Saccharomyces cerevisiae S288C: one gene and its partner. Each later gene encodes a partner of the first gene's protein in a complex. Each region holds a gene or a part of one and is shown on either strand. Other genes may lie near its edges. A codon is read from its position in the direction of its gene.

What was found. The genes of interacting proteins can lie anywhere in the genome.
Region 2: the proteins of SEC9 (region 1) and SNC1 are in contact, whole or in part, in a cryo-EM structure (PDB 9CRU), measured with the Saccharomyces cerevisiae proteins. Residues at the interface, in NP_011523.3 of Saccharomyces cerevisiae: Leu465 (codon at 2,986), Gln468 (codon at 2,995), Leu472 (codon at 3,007), Leu479 (codon at 3,028), Met482 (codon at 3,037), Ala489 (codon at 3,058), Leu496 (codon at 3,079), Asp595 (codon at 3,376), Leu598 (codon at 3,385), Asp599 (codon at 3,388), Ile601 (codon at 3,394), Gln602 (codon at 3,397), Ser605 (codon at 3,406), Asn606 (codon at 3,409), Leu608 (codon at 3,415), Lys609 (codon at 3,418), Ala612 (codon at 3,427), Leu613 (codon at 3,430), Thr615 (codon at 3,436), Gly616 (codon at 3,439), Leu619 (codon at 3,448), Asp620 (codon at 3,451), Gln622 (codon at 3,457), Gln623 (codon at 3,460), Leu626 (codon at 3,469), Asn627 (codon at 3,472), Ile629 (codon at 3,478), Glu630 (codon at 3,481), Thr633 (codon at 3,490), Asp634 (codon at 3,493); in NP_009372.1 of Saccharomyces cerevisiae: Arg28 (codon at 886), Thr29 (codon at 883), Glu31 (codon at 877), Leu32 (codon at 874), Glu35 (codon at 752), Ile36 (codon at 749), Asp38 (codon at 743), Thr39 (codon at 740), Ile42 (codon at 731), Met43 (codon at 728), Asn46 (codon at 719), Lys49 (codon at 710), Val50 (codon at 707), Glu52 (codon at 701), Arg53 (codon at 698), Arg56 (codon at 689), Leu57 (codon at 686), Ser59 (codon at 680), Ile60 (codon at 677), Lys63 (codon at 668), Ala64 (codon at 665), Asn66 (codon at 659), Leu67 (codon at 656), Ser70 (codon at 647), Ala71 (codon at 644), Gly73 (codon at 638), Phe74 (codon at 635), Gly77 (codon at 626), Ala78 (codon at 623), Val81 (codon at 614).

What each region holds. Positions count from the first base shown.
Region 1 is NC_001139.9:505,171-512,595, reverse strand, and holds SEC9 (Sec9p), read left to right. Parts: upstream 1-1,593; coding exon 1,594-3,549; downstream 3,550-7,425. Other genes in the region: nicotinamide-nucleotide adenylyltransferase NMA2, read right to left, coding at 1-1,051; STF2 (ATPase-stabilizing factor family protein), read left to right, coding at 4,232-4,486; ECT1 (ethanolamine-phosphate cytidylyltransferase), read right to left, coding at 4,656-5,627; mRNA splicing protein PRP18, read right to left, coding at 5,771-6,526; transcription factor IIF subunit TFG2, read left to right, coding at 6,737-7,425. UniProt on the Saccharomyces cerevisiae protein: Component of a SNARE complex that may be the effector of SEC4 function in exocytosis.
Region 2 is NC_001133.9:85,624-88,252, reverse strand, and holds SNC1 (SNAP receptor SNC1), read right to left. Parts: upstream 968-2,629; coding exon 866-967; intron 753-865; coding exon 501-752; downstream 1-500. Other genes in the region: MYO4 (myosin 4), read left to right, coding at 1-398; protein phosphatase regulator GIP4, read left to right, coding at 1,222-2,629. UniProt on the Saccharomyces cerevisiae protein: SNC1 and SNC2 are vesicle-targeting proteins essential for normal secretory traffic between the Golgi and the plasma membrane. They may also be involved in vesicle fusion.

The DNA.
Region 1 (7,425 bases):
TCGTAGAGGAAATATCATTGTAAATAAGTTGTTTGATAATAAGGATATTTCTTCTGTGTTCATACATGATATCATGGGAAAGCAAGAAGGACCTAACATCAGAACCAGTCCTTTCCACGATCAAACATCCATAATTACCCAAAATATGGTGCAGGTCTGAATCAGCCCACACATGAGGCTCGCCCATGGATTCGATAAGATCACCGCCTGCCAATAACATGATTTTTACGCCCATTTTTTCACCATCTACAGTCATGATTCCACCTCTCTTGATATTTATTTCATGATTGAAATGGTCCAAGACTTTTGCTGTCCTTGTATAACTTGATTGTAAAGATTCCCAGGCATCAACCATTAACCAAGATGATGTCCGCTCGCATGCTAATTCGCACATGCGGACACGATGATAAGCTGGGGCTAACCCTCGCTTTTGATAGTTATCACTTACTGGAGAAAAATAACCACCAACCACTTCAAAACGCGTTTGCTCATTGATATCATCTAAAGCCATTTCAAACATTCTCAAATGTAGGTATGTTATGGGAGAAAATGATCCACAAGCAACGATGATCAGAGGCAGTTTTTCAGGATCTTGTAACTTTTTCGTCAATCTGTGTACAGGAAATTCGTAATCTTCAATAGTTCTGGCTTGTCTTACAATTGTGTGAGGAACTTCTTCCAAATCAGCAATTTGGCTCTTCAGTACCCCCAAATTCCCAGTCATCGTAACATCCTGTAGAGTAGCGTCAATTCCATTCGATTGCCCTTCACTTTCCTCCTCCGATGATACATCCCGAGATAGTGGCTGGAAGTCACTAGTATTTAATGGAATATGGTCCATTCGGTTGCTTGAGTTGGCGTTTTTTTTCCTTGACGACAGGGTTTTGTAAATGTCGAGATTGAAAGGAGCATCGATCGAAGAATTATAATCAGCTAAAACATATGGAACTATGGGTCCAGATTTTGGTATCGTATGTGTTGGATCTGGCGGTGGTTGTAGTTCTTCATTTGGCTGTGGCGGTTTAAAATCGGGTGCTTTGGTGGGATCCATTACGTAATAAGTGCACTTTTTCTTGCCTTCTCCACTTTAAACTCTCTCTCTCTCTCTACTTAACAGTGGAGGAACAGTGACTAAGGTAGAGTATGATTGTACTATAACTTACAGTCTACTGTCGTCACGCTGGGTCAATTTACATTGTTATTTTTCTTGGAGACGACACCGTCACATATGGACAGCGAGTATGGTAGATGGTATAAGCAAAAAATGGCCAGAAACAGGCGATTATTTGGTAAAACGTAAAGATTGATCAAGACGATAAGTTTGAGAGATTGTGAAGCTAAATAAAATCGTATTGCGAGTATTTTACATTCCATATACGAATAGTACGATATCCATGTGGGGTGCGACTCAGAGACTTTCTATTACCCGTCTTTCAAAAAGAAATGAGATACGTTGATCCTGCTTTTAACAATTTCGAATCGTTTGCGTAATTATATGACTTGCTCCGGTGTATAAATAAATAAAGTACATTCTTGGTACTCCTGAACCTAGCCTGGAGTAACTCGGAATAATACACCATTGACACCAAAAGAATGGGATTAAAGAAATTTTTTAAGATTAAGCCTCCAGAGGAAGCGACACCAGAACAGAACAAGGATACTTTGATGGAACTGGGTATTAGTGTCAAAAACCCTAGCAAGAAAAGAAAAGAGAAATTTGCCGCCTACGGTAAATTTGCAAATGATAAAGCTGAAGATAAGGTATACGCGCCACCAGGTTATGAGCAGTATGCTAGGCCACAGGATGAACTTGAGGATTTGAATGCTTCTCCCTTAGATGCCAATGCTAACGAGGCAACTGCTGGTTCTAATAGAGGTTCAAGTGGCACGCAAGATCTCGGAAATGGAGCAGAATCCAATTCTATGCAAGATCCGTACGCTATCGAAAATGATGATTACCGATATGATGACGATCCTTATGCAAGGTTTCAAGCTAATAAAAGTAATGGGAGAGGTAGCGTCAATGCTGCGCCTTATGGTGATTATGGAGGGGGGTACAATGGCACATCTCTGAATTCATATAATAACGATGGCCCGTATAGTAACCAAAATACTTCAAACAGCTGGGTGAATGCGAATGGCCGTAATAGTTTAAATCATTCAAACAGCACTTTAAACGTAGGGCCTTCGAGGCAAACAAGGCAACCGCCGGTTTCAACGTCGACCAACAGCTTATCGCTTGACCAAAGAAGTCCCTTAGCAAACCCGATGCAAGAAAAGAGAAATCCTTACGCTGATATGAATAGTTATGGCGGGGCGTATGACTCCAATACTAATAGATCTAGCGGTACTCGACAAGGAAGCTCCAAGAATGCAAATCCATACGCCTCTATGGCGAACGACTCATATAGTAATGGAAATTTGAACAGGTCTGCAAATCCATATTCTAGTAGAAGTGTGCGTCAACCGCAATCGCAACAAGCTCCAATGACTTATACGCCCTCTTTTATTGCTTCTGATGAAGCAGCACGCAATAGTGAAGTTGATTTAAATGAAGAACCTAGAACAGGTGAATTTGATTTTGAAGAAGTTTATGCTGACAAGTCTGCAGAAAATAGAGCGGCATTAGATGAGCCTGATTTGAATGCAGTAATGACGAATGAAGATTCAATAGATTTAAATGCGTCCGAAGTTGATCATAGTTCAAGACAGCAGCAGCAGCAACAGTGGTTCATGGATGAGCAGCAACAGCAACAGCAACACTTTAACGCAACAAATAACCAATATGGAGATCAAAGGGGTTACAAAACATTTGAAGAAATACAAAAAGAAGAGGAGGCTCGCCAGCAGCAGGAAGAAGATGAAGCAGTAGATGAAATCAAGCAGGAGATCAAATTTACGAAACAGAGTTCCGTAGCCTCTACTAGAAATACACTAAAAATGGCTCAAGACGCCGAAAGAGCAGGTATGAACACATTGGGTATGCTGGGTCATCAAAGTGAACAATTGAATAACGTAGAAGGAAACTTAGATTTAATGAAGGTGCAAAATAAAGTTGCAGATGAAAAAGTTGCAGAACTAAAAAAATTGAACCGTAGTATATTGGCTGTCCATGTTTCTAATCCGTTTAATTCCAAGAGAAGGAGAAGGGAGAGGGAAGAGCAGCTGAAGAATAGGAAAATTGAAGAAAAATTAATGAGAGAGCAAACAAGTCAACAATTGTCTCAGTCCACTCAAAGAATAGAGGGTGCTATGAACGCAAATAATAACATAAGTGAGGTGCGGGAAAGATATCAGAGGAAGAATGTTCTAGAAAAGGCAAAGAGATATCAGTTTGAGAATGATGAAGAAGATGACGAAATGGAATTGGAAATTGATAGGAATTTGGACCAGATTCAGCAGGTTAGCAACAGATTGAAGAAAATGGCCTTGACCACTGGTAAAGAATTAGACTCTCAGCAAAAACGTCTCAACAACATTGAGGAAAGCACTGATGATCTAGATATCAATCTCCATATGAATACCAACAGGTTGGCAGGTATCAGATAGAATATGCCTGTAAAAACTATGTAATATATCACAAGTAACAACATTTCATCACCATTACTACCATTATGTAGAAATTTATGAGCAAAGACAAATAAGTAAAGAAAAAGACATTGATATAATATAAGAGTATGCTTTCTTCATTTTAATGTTTGGTTGTGAATTGAAAGAATACCATTCGGGCACGCAATAGTTATGAACTTAACCGAGCTCAAATAATTTAAAGATAAAAGATAAAAGATAAAAGATAAAAGACAAAAGAAAATTCATAGCCCATGTTGAAGTATCCCAGCGGGAAATGTTGCTATCCAACAGAAAGTACCAAGCCAGTTTCAAAAAGGTACAGAATTAAGTGATGCTATCCGTCCCACAACTAATTTTCTCCAGCGGAGGAAATATACGCGGAGGGGGGGAGGAAAACCTCTCAGTAAGCAATGAAGGGATAGATAATGGGGGCGCGCCTGCCTAGCTTAGGCTAAGAAACTCCTTCGAAAACAGGGGGCTGCGAGCGCAGAAGCGAACACTTGTCATTTGTATAAAAGGACTATTTATAAGTTTGCTTTTTGTCACTCTCTTGGCCCTAATTACCCATACTATTGTAACAATTGTTGTGTAAACTCAATTATACAAATAAACGAACAATCAACAGTAACAAACCGCTCAAGTGTACAACCAATCAGAAAAAATGACGAGAACAAACAAGTGGACCGAACGTGAAGGAAAGGCTGATCCAAAGTACTTTTCGCACACTGGTAACTACGGTGAATCTCCAAATCACATCAAGAAGCAAGGTTCCGGCAAGGGTAATTGGGGTAAGCCAGGCGATGAGATTGATGACTTAATTGATAATGGTGAAATACCCCCAGTGTTCAAGAAAGATAGAAGAGGCTCAAATTTGCAATCGCATGAACAAAAGTTTGAAAACGTCCAAAAGGAATGAGGGCGTTTTCAAGATAAAAAAAGGTTTTTTGATCTCTGAAGGATAGTGGCCTTCTCCACTGATTTATATGCATCTATAGGTATATACTTGCATGCCTACTTCATGACTTATGTAATACAGTTTTCTTACATCCATTTAATTTACGTTCGAAGAAGTTTTCAACATTTGTTTATATGGACATTCCCTTTTTTTGGTTCCTCGCAATGTAAACCTCCCTTTGCGATTCCACCCTCTTCACAATAAGCTCTTTAGTCAAGTATTCACTGAATTTTCCGGCAGCAGTGAGGACAGCCGTGCCAATATGATACTTCTCGCAGTTATACTGAGACATTGAGGTGGCGTCAGCATCGATAATAACGGCATCAACATATTTACAACTTAAAACGCTCAAGACGCGTTCCTTCATCGTCATAATGGTACTCGAGTAATCGCTTGTGGTAATACCAACAATCAATTTCTTATCGGGGTGAAGATCCATTTTCAGCTTTCTTAACTGATCAATATCCCCCATATGGAATAAGTCAAAATCCCCGTCAACATAAACACAATCTTCTGCATCGAATTTGTATCCACCATTGACCAAGACATTGTCCAAATCCCTCTGAAAGACATAACAATGTTTTGAAACGGCATCTTGGGCGACAGAATAGAAACTCAATTCCTGGGTGGTGGGATAATAATCAGGATGAGTCGGTGGCAAAGATTTTTTCGTCAATATTCTATGTATAATCTCGGTAGTACTTACGCCATATGTTCTTTTAACTACCTTGAAGCGCCCCATCTCTTTCACCAACTTATAGCAGTCTTCTCCATTAGCATCTATGGTGATATCATCACCATGAACAACATATTGGCACTGATATTTATCCATCCAATTGGGATCTGTAACATATGGCGCCGCTTCAACCACTTCCGAACACCACCTATTTGATCTAGTATGCTCATATCTTTCTGAAGAGTTCATTACTGGTGTTCCTTTGTTATGCTGAATATCTTCATCGGTATGCACACCACAGAATAGTTTACCATTTTCTTTTGAAACTGTTCGACGAGCCTGCAAAATGGCTCCCGCATGCCCATGATGTGTGAAATCAAAGCAGCCGTCTATCCAAACTTTATCCGGATCTAAGTTTACCGTCATCCAGTCAGTATATTTCAAGTCCCGATCCTGTAAAGCATTTGTCTCTGGAAAATTGAACAAAGGCTATCAACATCTGCATTCTTGCTTCTTATTTTGGCCGCATGATATCGTGCCACGCGATAACGAAAACAATAGTTCAACAATTAGGCTAAGCTATCGTGGTTGCTGGTATACCATTCTTCAAAAGTTATTAATCTTTTAATACTGGTAATCCATAATCGCGTTCTTTCATCAATCATTATGTTAGCAGCATTCCGGCCTCCTTGAATTTTCGAATGTGCACTACGAGCATGAATGCCTACGCTAGTAACACCAATAGGCCAGGCCACATTGCCGATACTGAGTTTCATATAGGACTGAACGGCTAAATTTATTTCTTTAGGTTGTTGTAAATGATAGAGAACGGTCGCAAGGGAAATAAGTAAATCCGGGGCAAGCTGGTTCCTTCGTAGTTGCAGTAGGAGTGGAAAGAGTGCTTTTTTAGTGTCTAAGAACAGCTCCGGATGATAAGCTTCCAAAGACGCCTTCCAACGAGATAATATTTCGTGAATATATAAATTACATTTCATTGACAAAAGAGGTTTTCCTTCAGTAGAACCAATTTGTGATGGATCAATGATTACAGAGATGGTTTTGTCTTGAGCTATCGCTTCTTGTATCCTTTCTGGCCGATTTTCTAATTTGCTAATGGTGGTCCTAATATCGTCACTCTGATTGTCTGACAGGTTTTCTTCATCTGTACTTTCTTGTTCTACCTGTCGCGGTGTTTCGTCTATGTTTGCGGATTCATGTGGCTGGAATTTCTCAGTGCATGGTGGCTGAACACCTTTAGAGTTGGCCAGCTCTTTCTTCTTCTTAGAAATTTCACCTTTTAAGATACTGGCTAGATCTAGGTCCATTTTATGCTCTTATTACTTGTAGAGGAAAAAACATTGAAGTTCTTTCCATTGGGGCCCTTTCCAAAGGTCGATTCTCTTCTTAACTTTTTCATCTTCCCTTGCGCGAAATGAATAAATTATCAGGCTTGAAATTAGAAGAATAAGACATATGCTGTTGGCTTCAACGCATAACGCAATATTAAGAGTAAAATAGAAGACCAACTTAACACCATGAGCAGTGGTTCAGCAGGGGCACCAGCACTTTCTAATAATTCCACGAACTCTGTCGCGAAGGAGAAATCAGGTAACATTTCCGGTGATGAGTATCTTTCGCAAGAGGAGGAAGTTTTTGACGGTAATGATATTGAGAATAATGAAACCAAAGTTTATGAAGAATCCTTAGATTTGGACTTGGAACGTAGTAATAGACAAGTCTGGTTAGTTAGATTGCCCATGTTTCTAGCAGAGAAATGGAGGGACAGAAACAACTTGCATGGCCAAGAACTGGGTAAAATTAGGATAAACAAGGATGGGAGTAAAATCACACTTCTATTGAATGAAAATGATAACGATTCTATACCGCACGAATATGATTTAGAACTTACAAAGAAAGTAGTAGAAAATGAATATGTTTTCACAGAACAAAATTTAAAGAAATATCAACAACGTAAAAAGGAGTTGGAAGCAGATCCTGAAAAGCAAAGGCAAGCTTACCTGAAGAAGCAAGAACGTGAAGAGGAACTTAAGAAGAAGCAGCAGCAGCAAAAACGTAGAAATAATAGAAAAAAGTTTAATCACAGAGTTATGACAGATAGGGATGGTAGAGATAGATATATACCATATGTGAAGACGATTCCCAAAAAAACCGCCATTGTGGGTACAGTTTGCCACGAATGTCAGGTTATGCCATCAATGAATGA
Region 2 (2,629 bases), on another chromosome or scaffold:
GCTGGTTTGAACCAAGAATTGAAGACGTTCGTCCCAATTTGATTCAAATAATTCAGGCTGTCAAGATATTACAGTTGAAGATAAGCAACTTGAACGAGTTCAAGTTACTATTCGATTTCTGGTATGCCTTGAATCCAGCCCAAATACAAGCAATTCTGTTGAAATACAAGCCTGCTAACAAGGGCGAAGCTGGAGTACCGAACGAAATCTTGAATTATTTAGCTAACGTGATCAAAAGAGAAAATCTGTCTTTGCCAGGGAAGATGGAAATTATGCTTTCTGCCCAATTTGACTCTGCTAAAAACCATCTGCGTTATGACACTAGTGCAATAACACAGAACAGCAATACAGAGGGCTTAGCTACTGTCAGTAAAATTATAAAATTAGACAGAAAATAAGAACAAAGTAAATATACGCCCATATATGTATATATGTATATATACATATATCCTACACTACATATGGAAGCTCCCTATATATATAGCATTGCGAGTGAACTTCTATCGACTAAAGTGAACAGCAATGGGGACGATGATTACAACAAGCAATATGATGATTACTAAAGCCAGACACATCTTCATTTTTAGATCCTTGTACCACATGGCTTTTCTGACCCTATTGGCACCCCTCTTAAAGCCTTGGGCTGAGACCGCTAGGTTATCGGCTTTATCTTCAATGGACGTTAATCTTTCACCTCTTTCTGCTACTTTATTTATGTTATCTCTCATTATTCCCACGGTATCATCAATTTCCTAAAAATAAACACGAAGAACGTATATGAATGTATACGCATAAGTATCAACGATGTAGAAAGTTAGTATAATGTTAATTTCCTAGATGGTACTCTGTGGCTTTCTGTACTTACAGCTTGTAGTTCCGCAGTCCTTGACTTAGACTGTACATTCTGGGGTCGTTCTTCATCGTGCTCGGATAGAGCATAAGGGTCAAAGGGAGTAGATGACGACATGGACAATGAATACGTTGCGCTTGCTATGTCTTTGGCGCAAATTTTCAATGTTTAACTAATACTTTTGACGATCTTTCTTATAGATGCTGTGGGAAAGACCCTTAAAAATGTCTGTTACCCTGCAATCAATGGTTGAAACAGCAGGAAGACGCATAATAAAGGCATATGTTTGAAGTTTGTTAGCGAATGAACAATGATAAAAGGAGTGATTGGAAGCTGAAGGTTGAGGATTTAGACTAGTTTTATATTACAACATGGTAGATGTGCAAAAGAGAAAAAAGTTGCTAGCCAAAGCTGCTGCCAGCGCTTCTATTCCGGCAATCAAAGGTTCTGTTCCGTTGGACTCGTATGATATAAAAATCATTCAATATAAGAACGCTCTTTACAAGCTGAATGAACTGAATAGGCTACTAAACGTTCTGGTACCGCATTTGAAGAAGAAAAGAGACAATGACGAGTCCTACAAAATTATTCCCCTCGTTAATTTCATCTTATCACTTTGTGAGGGTCCTATATTTAATGTAAGCCCCGTATTGGCTAAGAGGTACCATTTGCTCTGTCGATTCCAGCTGATAAAGCTAAGCGAAGTGCAGCAGAGATTATCAACTAATTTTATTGATGTAGAGGGCTGGATGTTTCCCGAGGAGGTACCCCTAGATCACTATAAATCGTGCATATACAATAATTCTCTACAATGGAAGATTTTAAATTCGCTGTCTTGCATTGCTCAAAATGCTATAAAAATTTATAATGCCAAGTTGAGACAGATTTTATTGGAAAGGGATGCGTACAAAGCTCGGTCACTTCCATTTGACACTTCAATAATTGAAGACTTGTTAAATCCAGTTGAAATGACATTGATTCTAGATTTAGCCGTTTTGATTAATGATCCAGTAAGGGATAAGTCCACCCATTCCTTTTACAAATTGCAATGGCAAGTGATGGAGAAACTGAACTCCTGTGTTCATTCGAAAATCTTCCCCATTCTAAGGACATATTACAACCAATTGCAGAAATTTTCGGAAACAAGACCTACTTCACTGTCAAATTTACAGAAGGATCTACCACATTGGGAATGGACTCTACACAGGATATACACTTTCCACTTGCGGGTTTTTTCTGTCTTGTGTGTTATTATCAGTTTCTCTAGGCAAATTTTCCTACCGAATAAACAACATTTCTTGGACATCAAGACAAGATTATCCAGCGAAAACGTGTACCATTACGATTTGATAATTTGTGAGCTGATGGCTTTGCTCTCTCCAGAATGTGATGATGTCACAGCTTTATTCGAACTGCAGGAGAATTTAAAATTTTGGACTCAAACGGCGCGTACCGATAACAATTCCTCAAGAACTCCCATTTTCCACCTTCAACCTGGTTTAGTTGTGGAATTGTTTAATAATCATATCTGCAAGATTATACCGAAATTGAGGTCCATTATGGGATTATTATCCAATTGGATGGATTGCTGGAAATATATTGAGAAAAATTATAAAACCTTCGATGAAACCAATGACTTGCGGGAGAATTTGAAAGAAAAGCTAGAAAGAGATAAGGCTCTGTATTTAGAGGTTAAAAACGCGAAAAGTAAGCTAAAGAAGAAGCCGTCAATAACAAAGCTGCCAGCCTCTTCTTCTCCATCCCCCTCACCCACATCTT